Diceros bicornis minor: one gene and its partner. The main gene of each other region encodes a partner of the protein of the gene in region 2 in a complex. Links are inferred from orthologs where the notes say so. Each region holds a gene or a part of one and is shown on either strand. Other genes may lie near its edges.

Region 1 (14,761 bases), on a different chromosome or scaffold from region 2:
AAATTTAAGTGCTTAGAATTTGTTTCCAAGAAAGGGCATATGTTCATGAAGTAGAAATGTAGGGCCGGCCCCGTGGCTTGGTGGTTAAGCGCGTGCGCTCGGCTACTGGCGGCCCAGGTTCGGATCCCGGGCGTACACTGACGCGCTGCTCGTCCGGCCTTGCTGAGGCCACGTCCCACATACAGCAACTAGAAGGATGTGCAGCTATGACATACAACTATCTACTGGGGCTTTGGGAAAAAAAAAAAAGAAATGTAAAATGCTACATGTGGTTAACAAAATGGTTGATATTAACCAATAGATTAAGAATTTTTTATTCATTTATTTTTTGTTTATTTATTTATTTTTTTGTGAGGAAGATCAGCCCTGAGCTAACATCCATGCTAATCCTCCTCCTTTTGCTGAGGAAGACCGGCTCTGAGCTAACATCTATTGCCAATCCTCCTCCTTTTTTTTTCCCCATAGCCCCAGTAGATAGTTGTATGTCATAGCTGCACATCCTTCCAGTTGCTGTATGTGGGACGTGGCCTCAGCATGGCCGGAGAAGCGGTGCGTCGGTGCGCGCCCGGGATCCGAACCAGGGCCGCCAGCAGCGGAGCGCGCACACTTAACCCCTAAGCCACGGGGCCGGCCCTAAGAATTTTTTAAAAAGAAATATTTTATAGCTTGAACTGCATGACGATTACGTGGCTATATGTATGTAAAAATTCGTTGAGCTCTCCATTGAGATTTGTGCATTTGAGTAATATCTCAATTTAAAAGTTTTTAAAAGTTATCATGGATTCATTGAGCTATAATTTGTACACTCGTCTATATGTATGATATACTTTAAAAGTCTATTTAAACACTCTGCTTCCATTAGGATGGCCATTATCAACAAAATAGAATCTAACAATTATTAGCGAGGATGTGAAGAAAGTGGAACTCTTGTACATTGCTCGTGGGAATGTAAACTGGTTCAGCCACTGTAGAAAACAGCACGGCATTCCTCAAGAAATTAAAAATGGAGTTACCATATGATTCAGCAATTCCACTTCTGGGTAGATACCCAAGAGAACTGAAATCAGGGACTCGAACAGATAGGTCCACACCATGTTTATAGCAGTTGGATTCACAATAGCCAAAGCAACTGAAGTGTCTGTCGACAGATGAACAGGTAAATAAAATGTGGTATAGACATACAATGGAATATTATGCAGCCTTAAAGAGGAAGGAAATTCTGATACAGCCTACAGCATGGATTGAGGACGTTGTGCTAAATGAAATAAACCAGTCACAAAAAGACAAACACTATATGATTCCACTTACATGAGGTCCCTAGAGGAATCACATTCATAGAGACAGAAAGTAGAATGGTGGGTGCCGGGTGCTGGGGGAGGGGGATGGGGGGTTAGTGTTTAATGGGGACGGAATTTCAGTCTTGGAAAATGAAAAAAGTTCTGAAGACGGATGATGGTGATGGTTACACAGCAACGTGAATGTTCTTAATACCACAGAACTGTACATTTAAAAATGGTGCATTTTATGTTATATATTTCACCACAATATTTTTAAAAGTCTCCTTACAAAGAGATGAGTAATGTAGACAGAAATGAAGCAGAGAAAGGGAGGAGGTGCTAGAGGGGTTTACAGTTTGAAATCAGCTATTCCAGGAAGATCTCACTGAGCAGGTGACCTTTGTGTCAAGGAGGTGAGTGAAGCCTCTGGAAGTTCGGGGAACACTTTGGCACAAGGAGCAACTGCGAAGGCCCTGTGTGGCTAGAGTGGAGTGAATTGAGGGGAATGTGATAAGAGATTAGGTCACAGCGGAAGGCGGGGCTCATGGGCTCCCCCAGAAAGCCCCGGTTTTAGGCTGTTAATAACCTAAGTGGATTAGCACATAAAACTGGTGCTTGGCAGTAGCAGAGCGCCAGGCGAGGATGGTTATCCGCCCCCATAAAGCCATTTCTGCAGCCCCTTGGCCTCCATGACGCACGGCGCCTGCACGCGGACAGAAAGACACACGCAGCTCCCTTAGGATACCTCAACGGCTCTGCGCAGCCGCAGCACATCTGCCTCAGCAAGATTCCTGTGATTGGCCGATCTGAGAGGCGCCGCAGCCAATCAGCGGCCGGTCCAGGAGGGCTTGCGCACCCCTCCCCAGAATGTTGACAGCCACCGTGGGCAGCGGCTGGGCGCGCTACCGCCCTCTGCCCGGCGTGCCAGCTACGCGCAGGCGCATTTCGCTCTGCTCAGCTGCAGCGTGTGTGGCAGGTGGTGGGGTCGCTGACCTGGCTGCCACCGTCAGAGTCCCCAGTATCCCCTCTTGGGGGCAGTCACGGCCTCTATTTTCCTCTTGCAGAAGTAGTGGATTCAAACACACGTATTTACTTTTTTCTTTTTTTAATTTAACCGAACACAAAAGTATGTGTGAAGCCCTGATGTAAACCTTTTAGCACACAATCCTCAAAACAATCCTAGGAAAAAGAGCAGCTTCACAGTGGAGGATCCTGGCAGACGACACCTTAAGCAAGAGGCCAAGGTTAACATCACCAGCAATGAGTCATAGTGACATCACAGTGACATCATAAGCCCCTGATATGAGAAGGCAACATCACCTCTCTGGTATCCTTCCCAGGAAGGCCAAAACCTCAATCCAATCAAGACAAACCAAATTGAGAGGCAGTTGACAAAATTACTGACTTTTACTCTTCAAAAATGTCAAGGCATGTAAAACTGAGGGACTGTCACAGACTAGAGGAGTAAGGAACCATGTCAACTAAATGCAATGAGGGATCTTGGATTGGGTCCTGGGACAGAAAAAAGACATGAGTAGAAAAGCTGGAGAAATCCAGATCCAGTCTGTAGTTTATTAATAGTAGTGTCCCAAAGTTAATTTCTTGATTTGATAAATGTACTATGGTTATGTAAGATGTTTACAGTAGGGGCAACAGGGTATATGGGAATTCTCTCTGCTATTTTTGCAACTTTTCTGTAAGTCTAAAAATTATCTCAAAATAAAAAGTTAAAAACAAAGAAACCTGGGAAGCAGGCACTATTGATATGCCCATTTTTCTAGACGAGGCAACTGAGGCACAGAGAGGTTAAGACACTTGTCCAAGGTCACACAGCCAGGAAGCACCAGGGCATAGTCCCATGGAATATGGATCCGGAGCCCCCACTCTTAACCTCAGCACCACAGTGCCTTTATTTAATTGAAACAAAGGGCTGCATATTCTGCCTTCATCTTTGTCTTTCTCACTTGTTCCCTGTTGATGGATCTGTACGGTGACTTGTTATTAAAAGGCCGCTGCAATAAATGTTCTTGCACATGTCATTCTTCAGAATTACACGTGTACTTCTTAGGAATATTCTAAAGAGATTTGCTGGTTCAGAAGGTGTATTAGATAGACAGGTTCTCCAGAGGAATGGAACCAATAGAATATATATATGGAGAGAGGGAGAGAGAGAAAGAGATTAATTTATTACAAGGAACTGGCTCATGTGATTATGGAAGCTGAGAAGTCCAAGATCGATAGTTGGCAAGTTGGAGACCCAGGAGAGCAGGTGATGGAGTTCCAGTCGGAGTGTGAAGGCCTGAGAACCGGGATAGCCAACGGTGTAAGTTCCAGTCCAAGAGCTGGCACGCTGGAGACCCAAGAAAAGTTGTTGTTTAAGTTCCAGTCTGAAGGCAGGAAAAGACTGATGTCCCAGCTCAAGGCAGTCAGGCAGGAATTCCCTCTACTCAATGGAGGGTCAGCCTTTTTGTCCTATTCAGGCCTTCAACTGATTGGATACGACCCACCCACATTGGGGAGGACAATCTGTTTTACTCAGTCTACCTTTATGAGTATGTTATCTCATTCAAAAACACCCTCACAGACACATCTAGAATAATTGACCAAATATCTGGGCATCCCGTACCCCAATCAAGTTGACACATAAAATTAACCAGGAGAAAAGGTAGGGACATTTGTCATTTAAAGCTATGGACAAATTGCCCACACCCATCAACAATGCTCCCACAGCCTCCCCAGCACTGTGTCGTCAGATGTTCTGATTTTTGCCGATCTGGAAGTCATCTGTCCACTCTTTTTAAAAAGCTCTTGTTCAACTAGATGTTTTTCCTATAAAGCACCTTCTTGCAAAGCTCAAGGCTGGACAAGGGAGTGGGCAGCTGTAGAATGGCCTGGAATAACCCCAGCCACAGCCTGTGACCCAACCCCTTCTCCACCCTCCAATTGTTCTTCTGGGGAGGGTGGGAATGGAAACACAATGGGGACCCCCACCTCAACTGCCCTCAGTCCAGGAGGTGCTGGGGAATTATGTCCTTCCTTTGTGCGGAATTAAGCATCAACATTTCAGAGAGACGTGGGTTTGAGTCCTGGCTCACCCACTCTTATTCCATTGACTCAGTGAACATTTTTTGAGCGCTTGCTGTGTGCAGGCACTGTACTGGGCAGTGGGGATACAGCAGTGAACCAAACAGGCAAAGCCCTGCCTCGTGGAGTTTCTGTTCTCGAAGGATAAGACAGATAATAGGCATATAGGGGCTTTTAAAATGAAAGTTTTTATGGAGGGAGACATACCCACTGTGAGGTGCAAACTCTTAAGTGAACAGCTCCCGCATGCCCATTCTCTCACAGTCAGTCTGGGGGTGGAGGATGCTGTTATTTGAGCAGAGAAAGGGAGGGAAAGGCCAGGCAGACATCTTGCAGAAATGTGTCTAGGCAGAAGGGACTGCCAGTGCAAAGGTCCTGAGGTAGAAGCGTGCTTGAGCATTCAAGAAACATGTTGAAGAATCTGGGAGCAGCAAGAGCAGCGTCACCCTGAGAGAATGGCCCGGCCTCTCTGATCCTTGAGTTTCCTTATCTATAAAATGGGCCTAAGAGTTTCCACCCCCAGAGTGCAGTGGTGAGGATTAAATGAGATTGTGCCTGGCATGGAGAGAGCCTTCCAGAAACAACTTTGAAACGTTTATGAACAACAGCCTCTGCCTGTTTTGGGGAGGAGAAAGATAAGTGAGGAGGGGGCTGGCAGGGCGGGGCTGCTAAGATAGGCAGGCACAGGGGGACGGGGGCTGGCACTCCCTGCTGGGGACACACAGGTACAGAGTTGTGTGTGTTTCTGTGTGTGTTCTGGGAGTCAGGAAGGTTTTAGGGGTCTCCCAAGGATGAGGAGAGGCAGGGACAGTCTTTCTTTCCTGACAGTCCTGTTCCTTGCAAGATCTCACTCATTCAGATGGGAAACTGAGGCACCGAGGGGCTGGGGCCAGGGAAACGTCACATAGGAGCTGAGTAGGGGACTGCACCCCAGACAGCCAGTGATGGGGGCGTTCCCTGGGGTGGGGACCTCGATGGCATCAGCCCCCTCTCTCCGCCTTTACCCCCATCTACCAGACAGAGACACGGAGACAGAAACAGTACAGAGACATCGAGAGAGAAAAACGGTGACTCAGAGACGTGAAACAGAAACAGAGACACAGAGATGGAGAGATAACGGAGAGAAGAGACATGGGGACAAAGAGAGAGACAGTGAGACAGGCAGATTCAGAGAGACAAAGGCTGGGACAGAAAAAGCCTGGTGACACAGACAGACGGACAGAGAACGACCCAGAAACAGCCAGAGATAGAGACGCACACCCAGAAAGGGCTGCCCTCCAGGGAGACCCCGGGCTGCCCCGTCGGGGGCCGCCAAGAGCTCCCCGCCCCGCCCGCGTCGTGCCTGGGCCGTGACTTCAGAGCCCGCGCGGATTCTATAAATGGCCAAGCGGCGCGGCCGGGGGCGGGGCCGAGTGAGTCAGCGCGTGACGTCACTGCCGCCGGGACCCCCGCCAGGCCCCGCCCCCGCCCCGCCCCTCCTGGGCCGCCAGGGGGCGCCGGCCGCGGGGCGCCAGTCTGCACATGCGCAGTAGCGACCTTGGGCCGCCGAGGGCCGCTTAGCGTGGGCAGGAGCCCGGAATTCGTGCGTTCGAATCCTGGCTCCGCCACCGTCGCGCTCTGTGACTCTGGGCAGTCGGCTTCACCCCTCTGTGCCTCATTTCGACCTCACTTCATAGGCTGTTGTGAGGAATGAGTTAACAGATCCAAAGCACTTAGTACAGAGCAGGAGCTAATGGTTAGCTCATTTTATGTATTTTAGTGTATTTTCAACATATTTTACACCATCAACTTGTCCTTAGTTGCCTTAGCGCAGTCGTTCTCAAATGGGGGAGATCTGCCCTCCTTCCCTGGCCCTCTGGCCCCCGGGGACACTTGGCAATATCTGGAGGTACTTCTGTTTGTCAAGACTAAGTTGGGGGTGCTACTGGCATTTAGTAGGTAGAGGCTGGGGATGCTGCTTAAATTCCTACAATGCCCAGGACAGCCCCCCACCACGAAGAATTATCCAACCCCGACGTTGAGAAACCCTGCCTTAGCCTCAGAGCATTAGGGGCACAGGCCTGGGTTCCAATTCTGCTCTGCCCCTGGTGAGCTGTGTGATACTGGGAAAGCAATCCACAGCCCCGTGCCTCAGTTTTCCCATCTGTAAAGTTTGTATATTAACTGTGTCCGCTTCTGAGGGTGTTGTGAGGATTGGACTGATATATGTAATGCCTGGAACAGGGACCGACATAGGGCTGCTGTCATATTAGCATATGAAAGCTGTGCCCTAAGCATGTGGCCCACAAACTGTGTGTCCTTAACATATGAGTGTATGGCAGGTTGCTGATATGTCACCGAGTGTCACTAACATGGCCTTGACATATGTGCATGATGCGGGCATGTCATCCACCCCTGTGCTCCAGGGGTGAGATCTGGCCGGGCAGGGCTGCTTGTGGGGGTTTCCTCCAGGCCAGTGTGGCTGGGACAGGGACATCGGGGGGTGTCCATGGCCTGCAAGCTGCTAACGCAGTCACCCTGCGACTCAGGCAACCCACAGGTGGACGGAGAGGGTGAGATCCAGGATCTCTGCTCCCTCAGGTCCTTATGAGGGGCTGGAGGGGACAGAAGTGGGGTGCCAGATTCCGAGCAGAAATACTGCTATTCCCTGAGTCCTGCCCTGTGCCAGGCACTGGATATGGGAGGCATTATTTCTTCTGACCCTCCTAACACCCTCAGGAGACGGGCAGTATCATGAGTCCATTTTACAGATGTGCCAACAGAGGCTCAGAGAGGGGAAGGGACTTGCCTACAGTGATAGATGGTTGGTGTCTTGAGTTAAACTCAGGCTGGTGCTGGCTACACCACCACGGGGGGCAGTCCTGCCGCAAGACTGGAGAAAGATGACCTCAGAGACATGGCGAGATGGCCAGAGAGAGACACAAAGAGACTTGGAGACCCAGCCAGAGGCCCAGTGAACAGTAGGGGGTGCGGGGGGAGTGGGGAAAGGTTGGTCTCTGTCTGGCCAAGCCCCCCCCCCAAAAGAATAACCCAGGCCGCCCCCCTAGGTGGAAACAATGACACAATCAGCTCCCAATACCAAGGCCCTGACATCAGAGGGGGGTGGCCGAGGTGGGGGGGCGCCCCGCCCCTTGGCAGGCCCCTGTGGCCAATGGGACGGCCCTGGAAGAGGCCCGGGCCGCCTCCAGAGCTTCAAAAACTTGTGAGGAGGGAAGAGGGTGCAGACGGAGCCCCAGCCGCTGCCGAGGTCCTCAGCGCCACTGCCACCGCTGCCCACCACCGGCCAGCATGTCCTCTGCTCACTTCAACCGAGGCCCCGCCTACGGGCTGTCTGCTGAGGTCAAGAACAAGGTAGGGCTGGGGCCACATGCCCTGCCAGGCCAGAGGCCCTGCTCTTGGGATTCCTGGGGCCCTCCTGCCTATCCCCTGTGGCCTGGAACCTGAGAGGGAAGAGGGACAAGTGTGGGGTTGGGGCTGCCTTCCTCCCCCTCCTGAGCATCCCAGAGCCCTCAGCTACTGTTAGGGGGTACAATGAGGGGCATGCAGGCAGCCACAGGTCAACTGAGGTGGTCGGTCCATTTTGAAGACCCCACTTGATCAGAGGCCCCTGTTAACCCTTTGTGTTCCTAGGGGGCTGGGGATGGACTTGATTCTCCACCCCCCTAGCCTGACAAAGAAATTGGGGAGTCTTGGAGAGCTGGGGTTCCTGCGAGGCAAGGCTCAGAAAGTGTGGGAGATTGTGAAGGGAGAGGGAGACAGTTGGGGAGGGCAGAGAGCAGGACACGACAGGGGTCTCCTAATTTTGGAGTTTGGAAGACACTGGGACACCACCTTCATGCTATGGATGGGTAAACTGAGGTTTAGAGAGGGGAGGCAAGTAATTAGGGTCCTACATGTGGTAGGTGCAGAGCTGGGACCCTGGACTCGCCCCCCCACACACCAGAATGGGGTCAGCTTCTCCAGGGCAGCCCACTTGAAGTCCCCAACCCGCTGGAATGCTCCCCTGAGCGCTGACAGAGATGAAGCACCAGCCCCATTTGACAGAGGGGAACACTGAGGCTCAGGGTGGCTTTTCCCAGGGTCCCACAGCGAGGAGGTGGGGAGCTGGGATCAGAACCTGAGTCGGGGGACCCTCGGGGCTGGCGGAGGGGGCAGGTGGGGGGCGGGTGCTCGGGCCGGAGACAGATCGCCGCGCCGCCCCCCCTTCCCCCCCAGCGCCGGCCCCAGAGCCGAGCGGAGCCGCCGCGCCATATAAGGCGGCCTCGGGGAGCCCGGCCCGCGGGGCCGCGCTATATAAGGGCCGGTTTGCTTTATAAAGCCGGGCTGGTCGGGAGGGGGCGGCAGGGCCCGGGCCAGGTGAGGGGGCCGCCCCCTCCCACCACCCCCTCCCCCAGAAGAAGGGGCAGCCCGGTTCCCCAGGGGCCGGGAGCCTGTCTGGGCTGGGGAGGAGGGTTCTGGAGAAACGGAGGGGGACGAAGTGGGGAGGGGAGGGGAGGGGAGGGAGGGGGAGAGACGCAGACAGAGATTCTGGGAGCCGGAGACAGGAGAGAGACGGATGGGGGAGGGCCAGCCAGGAGCCAGATAAGACTGAGACAGGGATGGAGAGGCAGCGAGGGGCGACAGACGAGCCCCACCCCCACCCGAGGCAGGGAACCTGGAGTCGGGGACGGAGACAGACCTACAGAGGCAGAGATGGACGAGCCTGCGCCCACCCCCGGCCAGACGCGGAGGGATGGGGACGGAAGGCAGGGCCAAGGAAAGACAGACAGAGCTGGGGAGAGAGACGCAGAAATACAGACGCAAGCGGCCAGGAGGAAGACATAAGCCCCCACCCCCAGCCAGAGCCCGAGGCCGAGGCCGGGAGATGAGGACCTGGAGAGACGCTGACACAGACAGAGATGCAAGACAGAGCTGTCCCCTGCAAGGCGACATTCAAGGGCGCCTCCTTAGGTCTCCTCCTCCTCTGCCTGAGGCGTCCGGCAGGGGGGTGGAGGGGGCAGGGCCAGGGCAAGTAAGCCCCAAGTTTGGCCTGGAGGGGGAACCGGGAGGCCAGGCGCCACCTCCCAGCTCTAAGTGTCCCGCTTTCCACCCCCCTCGTCCTCAGTCTCTGGTGCCAAACCTCAGAATGCCCGGAATGGCCCCCTGGGCAGGTGCCACCTCAGCCCTGGGCCCCCCCCATGGACGCTGGGGCAGAATTGCCTTAGTTGGGAAGGGATGAGGAACAGGCCCTAGGGAGCCGCGGATTGGGCCCGGGGAGCCAAGCCTGCTCCCCACTGTGTCCTCACCACCCTCTCTATGCACCCCCCATCCACCAGCTGGCCCAGAAGTATGACCACCAGCGGGAGCAGGAACTTCGAGAGTGGATCGAGGGGGTGACAGGACGCCGCATTGGCAACAACTTCATGGACGGCCTCAAAGATGGCATCATTCTTTGCGAGTGAGTGGGGCAGACTGCCCTGGCCTGCCCCTCAACCTGGGCACTCATCTCTACCCCCTCAACCCCTCCAATGACCATGAGCTCAGAGCTGGGTTGGGCACTTCATATCTGAGACCTGGAAACAGTCTTCAGAGGTGGCAAATAATCATTGTGCCCATTTGACAGGAAAGAAAACTGAGGCCCAATTAGGTAAAACCCATCGCCCAAGTCCCGTGCTGTTCCAGTGGAAATAACTCCAGATCTAGAATGTGAATCACCACACAGACAGGGCAGGCCCAATCATGGCCTCCAGGGTCCCAAGAAAGGGAGGTCACGGCTACAAAGCAATGGGCAACAGTGGCTGTCCATCGCTCGCTGGTGACATGAGGGACGTGCCATGGTAACTGAAGTAGGTCTCGACTTTCTACTCCTCTCAGAACGTAAATCACGGAGGGAGACGTAAACCCTCACAGCTCCCAAGCTCCGATTCCAGAGTCTGACCCAGGGCAGGGTGACCTGCGGGCCAGAGTGTGCCCTGGGAAGCTTGCAGAAGGCGTGGCCTTGCCAAACCCTAGGTGCTGGAAAGTTGGAGCGAGAGGGGGTATGTCTTATTCTACCACATCCAATGGGAACAAGGAATAGGGGACGCCCTGGTGTCCCAGCTCAGACAAGGCTGCTCCGGCCTTGAAGAGGGCAGAGCCAGCCACCCACTCAGTCCTCCAAACAAGCATTTACGAGCTCCTGCTGTGTGCCAGTTTTAGGCACTGGGGGTATCGAACACACAGCTTTAGTCCTAGTGCGGGAAGTGGATCAGATAATCGATGAAACAGTCACATACCTGCCTGGGGTGGGAAGGGACACGGAGAAGAGGAGCTGGGGAGGATGGGAGGGCCGAGTGGGGTGAAGGGTTGCTGCTTGTATAGAATGGTCTAGAAAGGTAACATGTGAGCAGAATCTTGGATGAAGTGAGGGAGGGAGCTGGGAGGGCATCTGAGGGAAGAGTGGACCAGGCAGGGGGGCCAGCCAGTGCAAAGGCCCTGAGGTGGGAGCATGCCTGGTATGTTCATGGGACAGCGAGGAGGCCAGCGTGGCCGGCACCGAGTGAGGTAGGGGAAGTGGAGGGGGCCAGATGAGGTGGGGCCTTTTAATCATGCTAACAATTAGGCTTTTATTCTGAAGGCAGTGGGAAACCATAGGAGAGTTCTGACCTGGGAAGTTACTTGTTTTGAAAAGGCCATTTTAGCTGCGAGATGAAGAAGGGTTTGTAGGGGACGAGGTGGAAGCCGGGAGCCCACAGGGAGGCCACTTCAAGAGCCCAGGAGAGAGACGCTGGGGGCTCAGAGCAGGCTGGAGGTGGCGAGGAGCCAGCCGTGGGCTTCTGGAAGTCTTCAGGAGGCAGAGCCAGAGCACTGGCTGAGGGACTGGGTGTGGGGTGAGAAAGGGAGAGGAGAGCCAGGAGCAAGTTTGAGGGCTTTGCCTGGGCACCTCGAAGGGTGGGTGGGTTTCCTGAGCTGGAGGTGGGGATGGAGGGAGCTCTGTGGGGAGAGGTGGGTGTCAGCAGTCCGGGGCGGGGAGTCCTTGGGGTACCAAAGGCATTTCAAGTCAAGAGCCTGGATGAGGTCATGGGGGTGAGGGTGGCAGGGAAGTCTCAGGCCTGAGCTGCGGGCTCTCCACGGTGCAGAGGTCCAAGAGGGAAAAGGAGGCTGAACCGTGGTCGCCAGCGAGGCGGGGGCACCGCAGGAGACCCCTACATACCCTGGATGAGAGCCTTTCTGCCCCGAGACCTGAGTCTGGTCCTGGGGTTGGCTTCCCATCTCGGTCCTGCCTGTGTGTGCGGTGGATGGGTGGGCTGCGGCTGAGAGCTGACGGCAGTGGGAAATAGCAAAATGGGTATCGCCCACCGGCTGTCATCCTGAGCCCTTGTCCCGCGCCTGGGCTGGGCATGGGTAGGGAGCACAGGGGTCCCTTTCTCACTCTCCTCCCCCACTCCTCGTAGGTTCATCAATAAACTCCAGCCGGGCTCCGTGAAGAAAGTCAATGAGTCGACCCAAAATTGGCACCAGGTGAGTCCAGGCTCTTTTTTAACTCTTTGAACCCCTGGCCCTCAGACCTCCACCATGTCCCCCCACACACTGACTGCCGCCTGCTCCCCTCCAGCTGGAGAACATCGGCAACTTCATCAAGGCCATCACCAAGTACGGGGTGAAGCCCCACGACATCTTCGAGGCCAACGACCTGTTTGAGAACACCAACCACACCCAGGTGCAGTCCACGCTCCTGGCCCTGGCCAGCATGGTGAGTGGGGGAGGGTGGGCGCCGGGCAGGGGCCGCGGGCGGTCTGGGCCGGGAGGGGAGTGGGGCCGCTCGTGCCCAGGGCCCAGCGTGGGTGGGGGGAGAGTGGGTGCTGCAAAGGGTCTTGAGGGGACGATGCGGCCCAGAGGCTCCCTCGTCAGTCCCCACCCCCTCGCCCTCCCCAGGCCAAGACGAAAGGGAACAAGGTGAACGTGGGCGTAAAGTACGCAGAGAAGCAGGAGCGGAAATTTGAGCCGGAGAAGCTCCGAGAAGGGCGGAACATCATCGGGCTGCAGGTGCCGCCCCTTCCGCGCCCGGCCCACGCTGCTGAGCTGAGGGGGAGGTGGAGGAGGCCGGGAGGGCCCCCTGGTCCCTGAGGGCTTTTGGCGACACGATATTTGGCATTAACTAAGCTATATGCCAGCCGCTGTGCTGCCTCACTCCTCCCGCATTTCTGGGTGGGGGGGGTGGGACTGTTACGATCATACCCTTTATAAAGATGCGGAAACTGAGGCCCGGAGAAGCTAGCTCTCTCGCCAGGATCGACCAGGTGATGAGTAGCCGGGCTGGGACTTGAACCCTGGAAGTCAGGCCCTGGTGCTCAGAGCCACTTACTGGTGGTGTGACACACCCTCTCTGGGCCTGTTTCCAGCCTGTAGCCCAAGGGTGGAAACAGGGCCATGTAGGTGTCCCCAGACATTGGTATATCTCGTGGCTCTTGGTGAGGCTCTGTAACCCCGGGTGGTTCTCCTCTGGCTCCCTAGATGGGCACCAACAAGTTTGCCAGCCAGCAGGGCATGACCGCCTATGGCACCCGGCGCCACCTCTACGACCCCAAGCTGGGCACGGACCAGCCCCTGGACCAGGCCACCATCAGCCTGCAGATGGGCACCAACAAGGGAGCCAGCCAGGTGTGTGGGGGGCTGCGGGGCGGGCTGGCGGGGCCCGTGGCCCTGGCCATCCCCACGGCCTGACCACGCTGCCCCCCGCAGGCGGGCATGACCGCGCCGGGGACCAAGCGGCAGATCTTCGAGCCGGGGCTGGGCATGGAGCACTGCGACACGCTCAACGTCAGCCTGCAGATGGGCAGCAACAAGGGGGCCTCGCAGCGGGGCATGACCGTGTACGGGCTGCCGCGCCAGGTCTACGACCCCAAGTACTGCCTGACGCCCGAGTACCCGGAGCTGGATGAGCCGGCCCCGAACCACCACCTGCACAATTACTACAACTCTGCCTAGGCCCGGGCCTCCCTGCCTTCCCCGGGGAGGCTGGCTGCTGCTCTCGGCAGGGCCCCGCCCGGCCCCGCCAAACCCTCCCCCTGCATGGCGCCCTCCAGCCCGCTGGCACCTGCCACAGGGTTAGCGTTGGGGGGAGCAGCCTGGGGGGTCTGTGCGGGGGGAGGGGCCCTCCTCCCTGGAGCGCCCTCCACAGGGTCCACCATCGAGCCGGGTGTTCCCAACAGCACCCAAAGGACGCACTGAGCAAAGCTACTCCGGCTGTCCCCCCACTCCCTCACAGGTGGGTCCCCCCAGGACGAGAAGCCCCCCAAGCGAAGCCCCCAGAGCCCAGGCTCGGCCTGCCCCCGCCCCATTCCCGCAGTGGGAGCCAACTGCATGCCCAGAGACCCAGCGGACACACGCGGTTTGGTTTCAGCGACTGGCGTACGTGGATGTGACAGCGGCGTTTGTGACGCGAGCACTTTCTTTTTCTATTTCACTGGAGCACAATAAACGGCTGTAAAATCATCCGAGGACCCAGGGCTGCTCTCTTCCAGGGCCTGCGTGGCTCTTGCACACGCGCAAACAGCCTTGCTCAGATACACTCCGTCTCCCGCACGCACGCTCACACGCACCCTGACACACACCCGGAGCTCACAGCCACTCGCTGGACCCAGGGCAGGCACCCACTCCCACCCAAATCCGCACACACGCACCATTACGTGTGTAGGGCGTGCACACGCTCTCTGCAGCCTTAGCCACACAGACGCTGCCCTTTCGCACACATGCAGTACACCCTCGAACATGTACATAAGGTCCACACGCACATGCTCGGCACCCACGTACCTTCCCGGGGAGCCTGTGAGTTGTATTGAGAAACAGCCAGGCTGGCCCGGATGTGAATCACAGTTCTGCTGCTCGCTAGCCGGGTGACCTTGGGCAAGTCACTTCCCTTGCCTAGGCCTGTTTTCCATCAGGAAAATGGGGAGAGCGAGGCTTAAGGGGTCATAGGGAAGCCTAAATGAAATGACGCCTCCAGGTGGGGGATGGCATCTGGCACCGATCAGTGAGAATGGACAGACAGCAAGCCGGGTCCTGGAGGCCCCTGTGGGCAGGGGGAACCCGTGGCCCTGGAGTGGACTGTGGGCAAGTTTGAGGGGACAGGGTAGTGGGCGAGTGGGCACCGCGGGGGCCGAGAGTGACGGCCTTTACTGACCGGCACAGAGCAGTGGAGTAGCTGACAGCGGGGTGCGGCTGCCCTGTGAGCCCAGTTCACTCTCTCCCTTCTCCTTAAGGCTGGTCCCCGAGTCTGGCTTGCCAGCCCAGGCCCCTGGAAGTCTGTGGACAGGGCCCCAACCTCCTCACATTTCAGAGGGGACCCTGTTCTCCCCATGGTGTGGGCCCCAGCCATCCTGCCTGGAAGCCAGCACTGTCAGGGTTCCAAGAAGACGCAGCCATGCGGGGCTCACAGAGCA
Region 2 (15,660 bases):
AACTAAGTGGAGGAAATCTCTTTCTTTAAAATATTCTAGCTAATAAATGCAGAAGGAAAAATAGAATCAGGAATTTTGCAACTCCAAATGAACTAACGGATTGAGGCAATGAGCATCAATGGCTGCTAATATCACAAGAAGACATATCCAGACATATCATACACTCCTCTGAGTGAAGTTCACAAAATAGACTTGACCAAAAAAAAAAAAACAGAGCCTGACTCCAATCAAGCCTCTACATCTAACTACCAAATTATGGCAATTTGGGGACAGAGAAACATGTTCAACTAACCACACTGATGTAGCCAGCAAAATCCAAACTGTGGGAAAATATATCACCTAGTTTCTTCAATAATAACCAAAAAATGCATGGAAAAAAGAGGTATAGAGGAAATATACAGATTAAAAAACACATCAGGGCCGGCCCCACGGCTTAGCAGTTGAGTGCACGCGCTCCACTGCCCGGGTTCGGATCCCGGGCGCACACCGACGCACCGCTTCTCCGGCCATGCTGAGGCCGCGTCCCACATACAACAACTAGGAGGATGTGCATCTATGACATACAACTATCTACTGGGGCTTTGGGGGAAAACAATAAATAAATAAAATTTAAAAAACACATCAACCATTTGTAATTTTTGGGGGGATCCTAATTCAAACAAACTGATAAATATGCTTATATATATATATATTATTATATGTATTTTTAAGTGTTAAGACAGACTCAATAAAAAAATTTGTTTTTTCTTGAGATGGATAATAGTATGGTGATTATTTTTTAAAAAAAGAATCCCAATACTAGAGATACATACTAAAATACAGATGAACTGGTATGTCTGGGATTTGCTTCAAGGTCATCAAAGACGCGAGGGGAGAGTGCATAAGAATATAGATGAAACAAGATCAGTCAGGAACTGATAACCATGGAGGGTGGGTGATGAGTAAAGAGGGGCTCATTACACTAAGATCTCTACTATTACATGTACACAAATTTTCCATAGTAAAGTTGTCCTTTTAGTGCAAACAAACAGAAAAGAACACTTGGCCCTCCCTCCCTCACCAGATTAGGTTACTTGGAAGAACAAAGGAGAAATTCTCTATTTAAATGAATGGTTGCTAGGCTTTATCCCTGTACTAAGATAGCTAACCTCTGAGGAGTGCTTTACCTTCCATTTAGTTTTCTTAAAAAAACAGTATAAACTGAATGAGAAAACCTGGACTCTACGATGGTGATGAAACTTGAATGATGTAGTTTTTTTTTACTCTTGTGATTCCATACATATCATCACTCAAATGAAATCCCATCCAAGGTATGGCCACCTTTGGAAAAATGAAGACACAGATGTCTATTAAGAAGAAAAGACGTTCGCGAGAGTGCAAAAGGCAAGGTACCAAACAGGAGGTATTGTATGAGTCCCTTTTTATGAAATTTAAATATACATATAATTTTTATATATATATTTTATATATACACAGGAAGTCTGGAACCCTAATCTTGGATGGTGGGATTGGGGGTGACTGGTTTTGTTGCTTATCTTTATTTCCTAATGTTTTACTATAATTGAATACGTATATCTTACGTAATAAGTAACAAAATGTATGTTTTTATAAGTTTGTACATGTAAAGGGGTCCACTTCACTAATTGGGGAGATCATTAATGTGGAACTTCATATTCCCCAAGGATGATGCTAGAAAGCAGAGCATGAGTCCTCCTTGCGTAATTCCTTAAAATGGGACTGGACAGACTACAGGGTGGCAGCAGGGTGCAGAAGGTTTGTGTTAAAGATAAACCCCCAGGAATACCATTAGGTTCTTACAATTTGTTGTTCAAACCAACTGAAGGTTCATCTATTTATCAAAGAAGATTCCCTTCCTATGGAAGTGAATTACAATCGCAGGTAAGTCAAGTGATTAACCAGACAGTCTAGAAATCTGGGTTTTACCCCCCATCAAGTTCCAATCTGGTATGTGATTTTGCCAGCTTCACCAGTCTCTTCAGAAAGGACAATGGGGTTCAGTGATGTTGAGAATCACACTGAGAATTCAGTGCGGGTTTAGAAATTCTCAGGGAAATAAGTCATTGCTTACCTGCAACAACCTGGCCCCCACACAATTTGACCCTGACGCCCTCTCGCACCTGAATGCCTAGCACTCTCCCTCAGCTGCAGCCACCCTGGCCTCCTTGCCTCAAAACAGGTTGTCCTGCTCCCATCTCAGGGCCTTTGCACTTGCTGCTCTGGCCCTTCAGAACATCCTTTCCCCCAGATATCTACATGGTTAACCACTCACTTCCTTCAGATCTCTGCTTAAAGGAACCAGATTAAAGACTTTTCCCCGATTCCCGATCCCTACCTGAGTGCTCCCTTATCCCCTTTACCCTGTTCTCTTGTTGTTGTCATTTTATTTCTTTTTTTCTATTGTGGTAAAATATACATATATAACATAGAATTTACCATTTTAACCATTTTTAAGTGTATAATTCAGTGCCATTAAGTACATTCACCACGCTGTGCAAAATGAAACTCTGTACCCATTAAACAAATTCCCCATTCCCCCACCCCTAACCCCTGGCAATCACCATTCTACTTTTTGTCTCTGTGAACTTGACTGCTCTAGAGACCCCATATAAGTGGAATCATGTATTACTTATCCTTTTGTATCTGGCTTATTTCACTTAGCCTAATGTTTTCAAGCTTGATCCATGTTGCAGCACATATCAGAATCTCATTCCTTTTTAAGGCTGAATAATATTCTATTGTATCGATATTCACATTTTGTTTATCCATTCACGTGTTGATGGACATTGGGATTGTTTCCACCTTTTGCCTACTGTGAATAATGCTGCTATGAACATGAGTGTACAAATACTTGTTCAAGTCCCTGCTTTCAATTCTTTGGGGTACATACCCAGAAGTGGAATTGCCAGATCATCTGGTAATTCTACATTTAATTTTTTGAGGCTCCACCATAGAGTTTTCCATAGTGGCTGCACCATTATACATTCCCATCGCCAGTGCAGAAGGGTTCCAATTTTGCCACATCCTCACCAACACTTGTTATTTTCTGTTCCCCCTTACTCTGCTTTATTCATCTCCATAGTACTTACTACCTGTCATACCATAATACTTGCTTATTTATATTGGCTGCCTCCCACAACTGGGATATAAGCCTCTTGAGAGCAGGTCTTTCACCAATGTAGCCCCAGCACCTAGAACACACCCTGGCACATAGCGAGTGCTCAAGAAACTTTTGAATGAAGGAATAAACACTTGGATCATAACTTTAACAGGTATTAGAACTTCTTGAATAGATTTATCACGCCAAATGCCTTAAAGTATGTCTAGTTTAGGGAAGAATCCGGATCTAGTTCAACATAAGGACTAGCTCAATAGGTGATGGTTTCAGTGCTTTTTTCACTTCATCCTCATCAGCAATAACCTCAGAATCACAGACACCATGACAATTGGTAGGAATCACAGAAATTATGTCATTCATGTCACTGACTTCAAGCCTTAATTGATTTCACCAAAAGAGCCATGCAAAAACTTAAAACAGCAAAAGTGAACTAAAAATCACATGTACTTCCAGTTAATATAGAGCCTGCAAATGCAATGCATTTTATTTTAAAAGATCAAGCCAACAGCCAACAAGATGGGACAGTGGCCTTGTGTGGACTCCTTAATTAGATGTATCCAAGGACAGCTTGACCTAGAAACCTAACTCCAGCCCAACCTTTTTTTTTTTTTCCTGTTGTTCATATTTGGTGTTTGTTGTTTCATTTTGGTTTGTTTTTTAAGAGCTGCTTGTAAAGAAATCAGAGTTTCCATGAGAACATTATAAATGAGCTAAAAAGCCATGTGATTTTTTTCTCTGGAAGTAAGCTGGTTGTATACCATTGGATTAGAAGTTTCTTTTCTCTCTCTCTAATATCCTAGTCTTCTTCAGTTGAAAATACTTTTAGGAAAAAGGCAACAGATCCATCTTGTTGAGTTCATCTATTTCTTTTCCTCTAAGCAACCATTCCATCTCTCATTCCTAAAGTGAAGATGCCAATTCCCTCCAAATGGCAACCACTCTGTTGAAATGGATGATACCATTGTCAACCTCAAACAACTTTCACGGGTCTCAAAGTGGAGGCCAGTAGTAATTCATTTACAGCATGAAGAACTTTCCCTGTCCGATAAGAAGGAAATTTTGATAGGATAGTCTGTTTTGATTTGAATTATTCAAAGAACAGATTGTACTTTCAACTCACACACACGAAAGAAAGAAATGAAAAAGAAAAGCGTTCTGCACAAGTGGCCACAAAGCAAACTGAAGGATATATGAAAAGATAACATTTCACAGTTCAGACTCACTGTAATTTAAACTTTCGAATTATTCAGATGGAGAAACGCCTCATTCTTTCAACCTGCTCAGATGCCTTGATGTAGATGATCAAGATGGATTTCAGGTATGAGATGAATCTAATGCTGAACTTAATGTTCCTTGTGGTTTGGTTTGGTTTCTTTTACTCTCCTCATTCAGACTTTCAGCATACAGCTTTCCAAAACAAACTCAGTACAACACCTAACACCTCCTCAAACATCCACACTCTTTCATCCCTATGTCAGAGCAAAATTATTTCCTTCTTACATCAAGATAAGTATTGTTCATGCATCATTGGTGGGACATAAGCAAGAGTTATTTCATCAACAGCAATAAGTTTACCATTTTTCCTAGCTTCTCCCTCACCATTTCCCACCCCCCAACTTAGATGCATCTGTGGGACACAGGACAGGAGAGCCCCACAGCCTGGGGTTATACCTTGCTTCCACTGTGTACTAGCTACTGGGTAAGAGATTTCACTCTTTGCACCTCAGTTTCTTCACCTGTACCTGACTCACAGGGTTTCCATGATATATGGCTCTAGATCTGACTTACAAGTCCTTAATGTGTCAGTATTATTATTTTTAGCAACCAGTTGGAGAAGAGTCTGTGGAACAGTCTCTCCTTGGCTACAGCTTACTGAGAGGAGGGGAACTGAACCCAATCCTTGGCCTTTTGAGTGCCCATGGAGCCATGGGAGTCAATAGAACTCCAAGAAGGAACCAGACCTCATACATTCAAATGCTTCCCACTCCACCAGCACTCCTGAGGATCTTATCAACAGGAAACAAAAGGACTATACTACTATAATGAAGTGTCTGACTCTCATTTTTTAATTAGAAAAGCCCAAACATTGTAGCCCAGGGAACAGCTAAATATTTAGAATGTTTAAGAAGTTACCAAGGCCCAGTCCCTCACCCGTTACCCTGTTGTTTACCCTGTTCCTAACCATTTCGGAAGAAAAAACTTTTGATGACCAAATCTGCAGCAATGGGGATGTACGAGCACCCGTTAAAACCTCCCTTTCTTGCAGTGCAGTCTGACCATTTTGGGGAAAAAAATAGGAGCTGCTTGTGTTCACAGAAAATGCTGCCCTCAGGTCATATCCCACTACAGGTACCTAAACAACAGGGACCTATCAGATTCCTTGACATCCAAGTGGCTTCAAGTCAAGGGCTGGATGCTACTAACTTATGCTTGAAGAACTGACTTCCCTTTCTAAAGTTCTAATTCTTTCAATTAACCAGCAATCACTTTCATTTCTTGCAATCCAACCTACTCTGATTAAACACACATTGACAGTAAGAAAAAAGAAAGTGACTATTTTTGAAAGAGAGAGGCAGTTAATTTTTGCTTACATATCTTGGCAGATGAAATGCACTGCATCCTTCAGAATTTAAATCATCAACATGCTGCCTGGCAAGTTCAATTCTCAGGCCACCAATGGGCATCCTTTTTATTTAATGGCTTTTTTCCCCTCCTCTCATAAATCTTCACTCTGCTTCAATTCCGAGCCATGGCCAAAAGTGCAAGGTAGGACTGCCCCTTGGATCTCCTCTGCTCCCAAAAGCCCTCACCAAAGGCAGTGACAAATTTTGGAGACTGAACCATTGAGTTTCCTTTTCCTTCCTACTCCCCATCTCCATGGCTCTTTAGAGAGCACTTAAAGTAGGCTTAGGACAAAAACTCATTATTGACTACAGCACTCAGGCTTCCACACTCACCTGACCCAGGTCAGGCACTCTGCTGCCAAAACACGCCAAGCCAGGGGTGCGAATCCTGCTCCTCTGTAATCAGCTCCTAAGTATTTAGAAAGAAAGACTATGAGACCGCGAAGGTTCCCTAATAGAAATGCTCCAAATTCCATGCTTCCACCTTCTTTAGCCTCCTTCCTGGAGAAGCCTTCCCCCTAAATTTGACAGGCAGGTGGGTCGGATCACTTGGGCAAAGATTACAGGTAACTTCGCTTCCTTATTTCCAGCATGTAACTGACAAGTGAGACGAGGCACGCACAAACTTCGAACGTGCCGGGGAGCTGGAACTAAGGGAAGTCTTTGGCAGATCCCAAAGCACTTATTTCCCGGAGCGGAGGCCAAGTATCCGAAGCCCGCATCCTCACTGGGCGTGAGCTTCGTCCACACTTCATCCCTCACCGCTCCCCGGGTTTTCTTCCGTTTTTTTAAAACCGTCCCCACTGGGGCCCCCACACATGCATTATTTTCCCAACCATGCAGCTCGAGGGAGGGCTACATTTTAAGAAAGACTGTTTCCTTGAACGGACTCACATATGACACCCCCACAATCTCCCCCCCCAAAAAAAAACTATTTCCTGCAGTTGCTGCAAGTTTCCAACTTGAGGGAATGCCATTCCAGTCTAGAATGGGTAGCCCTCAAAGCCAATCACTGGAGTCGAGAATTTTTTTACCTGAAATGAACCCCCCCCAAATGCCCACAGTAAAAGAACCCCCAAATGCATGCAAGTGCATGCAAATCCACCAAGAACTCCCAGAGAGTGGGGCAAAAACTTCTGCGCCCGGGGGTGCAGTACCAACTCCCCGCGCCCTCTGCCCAGCCCCAGCCGCTACCTTGGTGCCCGGGGAGCCACGCCGGTTTGGGGGAGCAGGGCGAGGAGAGGGGTTAGCAGCCGCTCGGTAATCCCATGTCGGCGAAGAGGGAGCTCGTTCCGTTAGGATGGAAGCGGAACACCCACACCTCCTCTCGGCGTGCGCTTTCTCTCTCTCCACCCTCTGCCTCTCCCTCCTCCTCCTCCTCCTCCACCACCACCTCCTCCTCCTTTCCTCCCACCCCAGCAAGACTGAGGAAACGCTTCAGCAGCACATCCACATGCTTACTGCACTTTGAAGCCGCTCCTCGCTGCTTATATAGGCCGGGAAGCTCCCTGGGCAATGTAGTCCAAGTCTGAGGTCGTGGCGGCGCCTGGGGCTGCAGGGGAGGACTACAAGTCCCAGAATCCCCTGGGCTCCCGGGCTGGGCTCTAAATAGACGGCTCGCGGGGATGAAGGAGGGGCGTCGCGCGGGGCGTCTGGGCTTCAAACCCGCGTCTTCAGGGGTAGCTGGCCTGGCTTGGAGCCCGTGATCGAAAGCCACCCCTGGGGGGCGCCCCCAGCCTCTGGGGACGCTCCTCCTCTGGCTGCCCCTTTTCCTTTGAATCCAGGTATCACTGGGAGCGAGGGGCAGGGAGGAGCTCGGATTTGTGCTTTGGGAAGTTTTTACAAGCTGTACCCACCCTCCCCCCGCCTTGAGTCCCGGAGCCAAGAATTTCAGAAATCCAGGGCACAAAAACGCCAGTGTTTGCGGTCAAGGATTAAAGGCGCGAGGTTGTCTTTATTTAATCTGCTCTGCCTTGCTCTGGTTTGCACAGAAAACTAAGTGTGGGAGCGACGGTCCACGCAAGCGGGGACACAGGCAAGTGGCTTGAGAACACTTTTCTGTATCCGAACTCCGTGCGTCCTTCTTCGCCCCGCAGGAGGTAAAGAAACGCAAGCCTCTCCGGTGCACAGATAAAGGAGCCGTGTTGTTACTTGCCAGCGCTGAGATTGGGAGACAGAAAATAAATAGAGACCGCGACCTCGGTCCTGACCCTGCTTCAAGCAGCCCCTCTGCTCCCGGGAGCTGTAAATGCTTAAGTAAATAAACCGCAAACCAGAAAAACAAGGGCTTCGGAGAGAGCCGCTTACACAAAGATGCGTGTCCAAACGGGGGGGCCCTCCAGCAGCTCCGACAGGAGCTTCAGGGACTGAAGGTGGGTTCAGCTCACTGCTAACTAGTGCCTGGGCTCTCGGGCTACAAGCTGCTTCAGGCTCTTGTTTTTGGAAGGAGAGCGAGAGCTAAGCTCCGAGGCCAAGTCAGCCGGCTGCCCTCCCTGCCTCAGATGATGTGCATTCATTCCACAAACGTTTCCTAAGTGTCTACTGGATGCCAAGCACTATGCCAGGCTCTGGGCCACAGTGGTGAGCCAAAACCCAGCACAGCATGTCAGGCAGGCACTGCCTGACTCTGCGTAGGATCTGCTATAACAACAATAGTAATAACGGTAACTGGGGAGGCTGATTTTATTAAGCCCAGACCACATACATTTTTCATGCTATTGAGTTTTAACCACCCTAGGCATATTTATTATCCTTGTTTGACAGGTGAACAGCTGAGGGCTCAGAGCAATCGGGTAACTTCTGGAGATGACACCGTGAATTAAGTGGTGCAGCCTGGATTCTAATTCCAGCCTATGAGTGTTCTAAACCCTTGTCTTTGGGGAAACCCATTGCCACTGCCTTAAATGGCCTCCCTCCCCATTTTAGGAGTGGCCTCTGAGCCCTTGGGCAAGTCATTTTCATCTCGTTGCCCCAGTTTTGCCATTGTAGAGGGAGACAATCAGGAGCATTTGTCTCCTGTCATCCTACTTGCTATCAGGATTGCCTGTGAAACTTCAGGAGCAAATGAGGGGCGCACCACAGCTAATAATTATTACTGATGTAATAATTAGTGCCAAAACTAATAATAATTATGTTTATGGGGTACACACCACGTGCCAGCCGTTATCCTAAGCTCTTAATGTACATTATCTCATCAAATCCTATAACGAACCATTTTTTTACTTATGAGAAAACTGAGGCACAGAGAGGTTAAGTAACTTCCCATAGTCGCACAGGATGCTGGGCTGCCTGACTCCCGAACTCTGGACCTTAACTACTACCCTCCCTTCCGCTGCTTCCCCAGTGTCAATGTATGCATTGTATTTATTTGCTCATATAAGCATTTAATACCAGTCCAGGAATGAGCAAAGCTGTGAAGTAGACAAAGTTTGTGTTCATTCTGTTCACTCTTGCCCCTCTTCTCTTCAGCATTATCCCCTAGTCACAGGGCACTAGAGCCTTCTACCTAATGCCTCAAGCTACCACTCCCCATCATCAAGAAATTTCCCCATCCTGTCACAACAAAGGAGTCCACACCTTTCCCAGCTGTCCCCTCTCTTCTTTTCCCTCATGAAAACAATCTGTTCCACTTCTAAAGGGTTTTTGGCTCTACTTTTCAAACAAATTCAACAACTAAGTCTATGCCAATATAACTGGTAAATACTAAAGGGTAATTATTTCACTTGCTCCTAATTCAGAAAAACAATGGAATTTTAACGTGTGTTTTCTGAAGAAAACTTGGTCCTGTTTGAGAGCTGGAGTTTGGTGATTTTCGTCTTCACCATGCAGTGGACACTTGACCCTTAACTGTTTTAGCCACTGTCTTCCCTCCCAGACCACAAGTTTCATTGAAGGCAGGAACTATGTTTTATTCATGCTTGTAGTTCCTACCTGCCCCAGCCCAGCAGGCCCTAGACTTCTGTGTGCACATTTTAATAGATACATAAAAAAAAATTTGTTAGAAAAAAGTGTTTTAATAGAAGGTGTGTCAGGCATATGGCAGGCTAGATGAACATATTTTTTGAGCACACAAGCCTTATAACCCAATCGCATAATAGACTGTTTCTTCCACGTATGTGTGTTAATGGTCCTATTCAACATTTTGCAACTGGCACCACGTTCTGGAAGCTACTGGGTCACTAGAAAGTAGTTTTGCTAAATTTGCTATGAGGCTAAGAGGTTCTCTATGATGATGTATGATTGATGATTGATGATGAAGTATATCATAATAAAAGGGCCACTACTGGGGCCGGCCCAGTGGTGCAGCGGTTAAGTTTGTGTGCTCCACTACGACGGCCCAGAGTTTGCAGGTTCAAATCCAGGGTGTGGACCCACACACCACTTATCAAGCCATGCTGTGGCGGTGTCCCATATAAAGTAGAGGAAGCTGGGCACGGATGTTAGCCCAGGGCCAATCTTCCTCAGCCAAAAGAGGAGATTGGCAACAGATGTTAGCTCAGGGCTAATCTTCCTCACACACAAAAAAGAAAAGCCACTACCCAACTCATTCTCCATTATCAATAGAGGGAAGGGGGCTTCTTTTTCTTCACTGTATTTCTTTTCCTGGAAGAATTTTCTAGACCTGTGCTTTCCAATACAGTAGCCACTAGCCATTTAGGCACTTAAGATGTAGCTAGCTCTAACTAGGATGTGAAGCAGGTATAAAATACATTTTGAATTTCAAAGACTTAGTACAAAAAAAATCAAAATATCTCATGAATAATTTTTATATTGATCACATGTTGAAATGATAATATTTTGGATATATTGAATTAAAATATATTATTAAATTAATTTCATTTGCTTCTTTTTACTCATTTAATGTACTACTACGATATTAAAAATTACATGTGTGGCTCATATTACATGCTGTTGGACAGCACTAGTCTAGAAAACCAAGAATCTGATTCTCGAGATCCAATTCAAGATGACAACTAGCCCTGAAAATTGCCATTTATGACTTTGCCCTTGAAATGCCTATGCAGGGAATTAGGAGGGCTTTGCAGAGTCAGGATAGTATCATAGACTAAGCAGAATTCTGAAGAACGTCCAAAACTAGCACACCAGCCTACCCCCCAGGGAAACCCTACAAATAGAAACAGGTTTTCATCAGCAGTATACAGCTGAAAACTGCAACTGAATTAATCTGCCTAGAATCCCACCCTCAAATGCTGTCCTGATTAAGACAGCAAGATATGCTGGAGAAAGCAGGGATCAGAAAATGTGGGTTTGACACCCAGCTGCAACCTTAATATCTATGTAACCGTGGCCGGTCATCTAACCTTACAGAGGCTGTTTTTTGATAGAGCAAAGCGAATAATCCTTGCCCTGCCAACCTGACCAGATCAAATGAGTCATTGGACATGAAACGACTTTGCAAGCTTACCCTAGTTATACCAAAGTGAGAGAACATCACCAACAAGCATGGAGAAAACGTTGATATGTCATGGTCTAGTACTCAGCTCCAGACCAAACTTCAGATTATTGGGGCAGCGCTAGTCCCAATTTTCTCCTGGGTAAAAGATTTTAATTACCTATGAATGTCACAATGAGCCTTGACTACTTTAATTGACAGCTTCTCCAAATCACTCTTAAGTGGCAAGACAGAATGACCAACACTGAAGTCAGAGAATTCAATCTATTTTTTGGTGTGATGTGTTTCCTATATATGCCCTGGAACATGAGAACTATCAGTAAAGAGAAATAGCTACTGTGTAGCCAGTTTCCAACTAGTCGCTCTTGGTCATTGTGAACTTTTTGTGGTGGAGGGAGGGAATCATAGCCCACTGAGAATCTTATAAAACCTATGGACATTTGCCCCAGCACAACACAGATACTCACAATTTTAGCACCAGTTCTTGGAATTTCTTGTACCAACCTCCCAAAACTTGTTCATAGACACTCCTGAAAGACTAGAATATCTTTTAGCTGAATTCTGTGAGTCTGTCTCTTCAACCAGATAAACTCTTTGAGGAGTTCTATATTTGTGTACGCTTTGTAGCATTTAGCTCCGCTCTGGGTAGAGAGTAGATGCACAGCATTTACTGGCTAATTCACCCTTGGAACCCCAAGGGTGGCCAGAAGAAATGACCCACAGTCTCATAGCAGCCCTACTTGAGATGGAAAAGTGCAGGTGGTGTTTGGACAAGAGCAGGAGAGACACCAGTGTGGTGTAGAGCTAGGAAAAGTAAAATGTTTTTCCTGAGCTGAGGCTCTGGGCATCCTGGGAGGCTAAGAGAAGGCATGAACAGGGAGAGGCCTTATGTTCGTTGTCCTATCTCTGGAGTTTAGAAGAGACTGCTGGTCAGTAACCTTGCACGTGGAGGGAACATGGGCAAATTGTCAAGGATTTAAGATCCAGAAGGCAGCATGTTAGCTACAGAAGAATGCAAAAATTAAGCAGTTACTACCAGTTTATACCATATGGAAGTGACAGCTACACTATCTCTAATGATTGCTGCCAACATTGTCTAGAACCATGTAAGCAAATAAAGAGCACTATTACTTTCTTACACATTATCTTCCTGTGAAACAGGCAGAACCAGGGGTGTATTATCAACTCAGACATTTTCCCCAGTTTCCTGCCTCACATCTGCAAGACTGTCATCTTAAATTGCTCTGGTAGCTGAGCTAGATGTGAGGATTTGAAGAAACCTTGGGAAAGGCCTCATTATCTTATCCTAGTGTTTGAACTGAAAGGAAATCTGTTTATCAACAGAAAAACAGAAAGCTCTTCTTTACAGAAGAATTCAGCTAATACATGTAGAAGGAATAATAAAATTAGAAAATCACCATATTGCAGCTTCCAGTGTAATAATTTATTTAGACAAAAGTATCAATAGACGCCAAATCCCCTGGGCAAAAGGTTGATGGGGAACAAGATATTCATCACCCCGCACATTACCCACTAATTATGAAGTGGAAAACAGACCTATACAATGAAGAAATATGGCAATCGCCCACAATAACCAAGTGATCAAATTTACCATCAACAATCCTGGAACAATCAGACACTATTTGCATCCTGATATGATTCTATAAGAAGTACACAACATCACATATGAAATATTCTTGCCAAAAATGTTTGAGGAAACAATCAAACAAACCCAGAATTTGGGGCATTCCACAAGACCATTGGCCTGGACTCTTCAAATAGATCAGTGTCATGAAAAAAAAATGGCAGGAGGACTATCTAGATTTAAAAAGACTAAAACAAACATTACAAGTAAATGCAACATGTGACCCTTTATTGGATCCAGGATTGAAAGAAATTAAAAATAAATCTCTAGAAGACATTGTTCAGCAATTAGAAAAATTTGGATCTAGACTATAAAAGAAAATTGTGGCATTACTAATACTTAGGTGTGATTATGGTATTGTAGTTATGTAGGAGAATACCCTTGTCCTTAGATGTTCCCTAAAGTAGGGTCTTTTCAAGTCAACCAGAAAAGCAAATGGAATTATACATGAGAAAACGGAAGTGGGAAACTTGAGAATTTTTATAGGCTTCATTTTCTGTTTCTCCTAGGAAAGTTATTTAATCATCAATAGAGCTAGTCACTAAACCAGGCACTGGATTCTACTTAATTCAGTTACTGATCAAGTAGAACTGGTAACTTTTTCACTTCTCATGCTATATCAGTTTGTCCAGTCTCAAGCAAAGTAACTGCTTCCTTTTGTTCCCACTTAATTCTGTTCCCAGATTTAAAGTAGTTTTCCCTCTAAATGTAGTTTTAGGATATGAGTAACCTGTATCATGAGTTCAACCCAGATGGAGAGTTTGAGGTTAATCCTTCATGAAACAGATCAGTTAAGTAGGGTCTGCCAGGGAAGTGGGGTTGGAGGGGTGGGGAGTAGGGTAGAGGGATCTATACAGGACCATTTTTTGGTTGCTTAGTGCCTGGCTGTCAATATTACACTGATATTTAATGGGTAACTACATATTCTGCCAGGCACTCTGTGCTGGGCACTGGGGAGAATGGCAAAGAGTAGAAGGAGTAGAATGCAATGTGCTTTTGCTGTCTGCCTTTTTCTTAATCACTACCTTCCTTCCAGAGAATTTCAAATGTGGTGTTTAGATGGTAACAAATAGGAAGATTGGCTGCTTTTTAATCATAGTTTGTAGTCCTCAGCTGGTCTTTCATTCCGTTTCCTTCATTGTTTCTTCTTTCCAGTAATTTCTTGCAGCTCTAACAGCTGTGACCTAGGAAATAACCTAGATGCTGCCCAGGTCCTCTGGTATTCCTTAATTACTTCACCACGATCCAGGCACCTGACGGTTCACACTGGAATGTTTCTCCATTAAAGATACACGTTATCAAAATGATCCTTTGTCATTAAAACATTTATATTGAATATAATATAGCAAATGAAGGAGGGAAGTAGCTTCTTCTGAGTAGTTTCTCTACTCAACTTTCCCTCAAACAAGCTCTTTATTTACATTTATAACTGTGCTACCTCTTAGGAGGAAAAGAAGGAGGAAACAGAAAGTGCATCTATTATAAAGGCAGTCTAAGTCTCACTCAACACCTGAAATACCATGCAGAGACAGATGAAATTAGCTATCCCTGGAGAAAATGAGCGATTCTGTAAAGATCAGTGTTCATTAGAGAAAAAAATTAAATAAGCGTATAGTACTCTTATGATCAAAAATAAATGAAACTATTTAAAAGAGAAAGATTATTATTTCCAAAAGAATCTCACTCATGGGAAAAGCAAGGTCTTTCTAAATTTCTGAATATATTGTTTTATACCTGAATGAGAAAACATTATAATAAGGCTCAATAAAAAGATTTCCATGTAGCTAACAAGTAAACCTGGTCTTCCCAAAAAAATGTTTCAGGTAAGAATTTGCTAATTGTTTTTAACTTGTGCATTATTGAATGATCATTTGATCTTCAGAAAAAGCAAAATGTTTAAGTTCATCTGCTTTGGAAAAGTTCACTTAGTTCAAGAAGTAGGATTAAAAGCTTCTGTTAGAGGGCCGGCCCCGTGGCTTAGCGGTTAAGCGTGCACGCTCCGCTACTGGATCCCGGGCGTGCGCCGAGACACCGCTTCTCCGGCTATGCTGAGGCCACGTCCCACATGCAGCAACTAGGAGGATGTGCAACTATGACATACAACTATCTACTGGGGCTTTGGGGGAAAAAAACAGGAGGAGGATTGGCAATAGATGTTAGCTCAGAGCCAGTCTTCCTCAGCAAACAAAAAGAGGAGGATTAGCATGGATGTTAGCTCAGGGCTGATCTTCCTCACACGCACAAAGAAAAGCTGCTATTACAAAATCTATGTATTGTTTATTGCCCTTGCTTTAAAAAAAGAAGAAAAAGAAGAGTGTGTACAGGCTCAACCCAAATCAGTATTAGAAATTAGGTTCTCAGATTAAATTAGCCTTTATTTCTCTTCCACTTCAATTATTTTCAGCACATTATCACATGGGAAGAGGCACCAATATTAAAAAGAAAATGAAAAAAAAGACTACTTATAATGGTAACCTACTTTGGAACAATGTTTCAAAGCAATGGAGTGGCACTTGTTAAAGTGTCAATCCATACTACCGAGTAAAGGAACAAGAGAAACTTTTCATGTGTTTCATGAAATAACTCTTAATCAGCAAGGAATTAAAGTTTGATCAATTGTAGCCATTAAATTATAAATCTTATTTTGTGTCACAATCTCATTTAAAATGTAGTAGAAGCAGAAAAATCTTAGGGAAATGAGGAAACAGTAGAGTTTACCTTAAAAGTCTATTTTATGGGGAAAGAAATCATGGATTTCTATCATTCCCCTGTAGAGAAGAAGCCTGTTCAGGAAGTGTAGGAAACTTTTTGCTCGTAGGATGGGACACCCTGATAAAGATGT

The links.
Region 1: ITPR1 (region 2) and CNN1 share a complex: the UniProt entries of both Homo sapiens proteins name them as parts of the cGMP kinase signaling complex. The link is inferred for Diceros bicornis minor from reciprocal best matches to the Homo sapiens genes ITPR1 and CNN1.

The regions. Positions count from the first base shown.
Region 1 is NC_080769.1:7,986,611-8,001,371, reverse strand, and holds CNN1 (calponin-1), read left to right. Parts: upstream 1-7,580; 5' UTR 7,581-7,649; coding exon 7,650-7,712; intron 7,713-9,676; coding exon 9,677-9,798; intron 9,799-11,773; coding exon 11,774-11,840; intron 11,841-11,934; coding exon 11,935-12,072; intron 12,073-12,254; coding exon 12,255-12,365; intron 12,366-12,833; coding exon 12,834-12,980; intron 12,981-13,061; coding exon 13,062-13,307; 3' UTR 13,308-13,814; downstream 13,815-14,761. UniProt on the Homo sapiens protein: Thin filament-associated protein that is implicated in the regulation and modulation of smooth muscle contraction. It is capable of binding to actin, calmodulin and tropomyosin. The interaction of calponin with actin inhibits the actomyosin Mg-ATPase activity.
Region 2 is NC_080741.1:75,254,147-75,269,806, forward strand, and holds the start of ITPR1 (inositol 1,4,5-trisphosphate receptor type 1), read right to left. Parts: upstream 7,096-15,660; 5' UTR 6,955-7,095; intron 6,170-6,954; 5' UTR 6,094-6,169; intron 1-6,093. UniProt on the Homo sapiens protein: Inositol 1,4,5-trisphosphate-gated calcium channel that, upon inositol 1,4,5-trisphosphate binding, mediates calcium release from the endoplasmic reticulum (ER).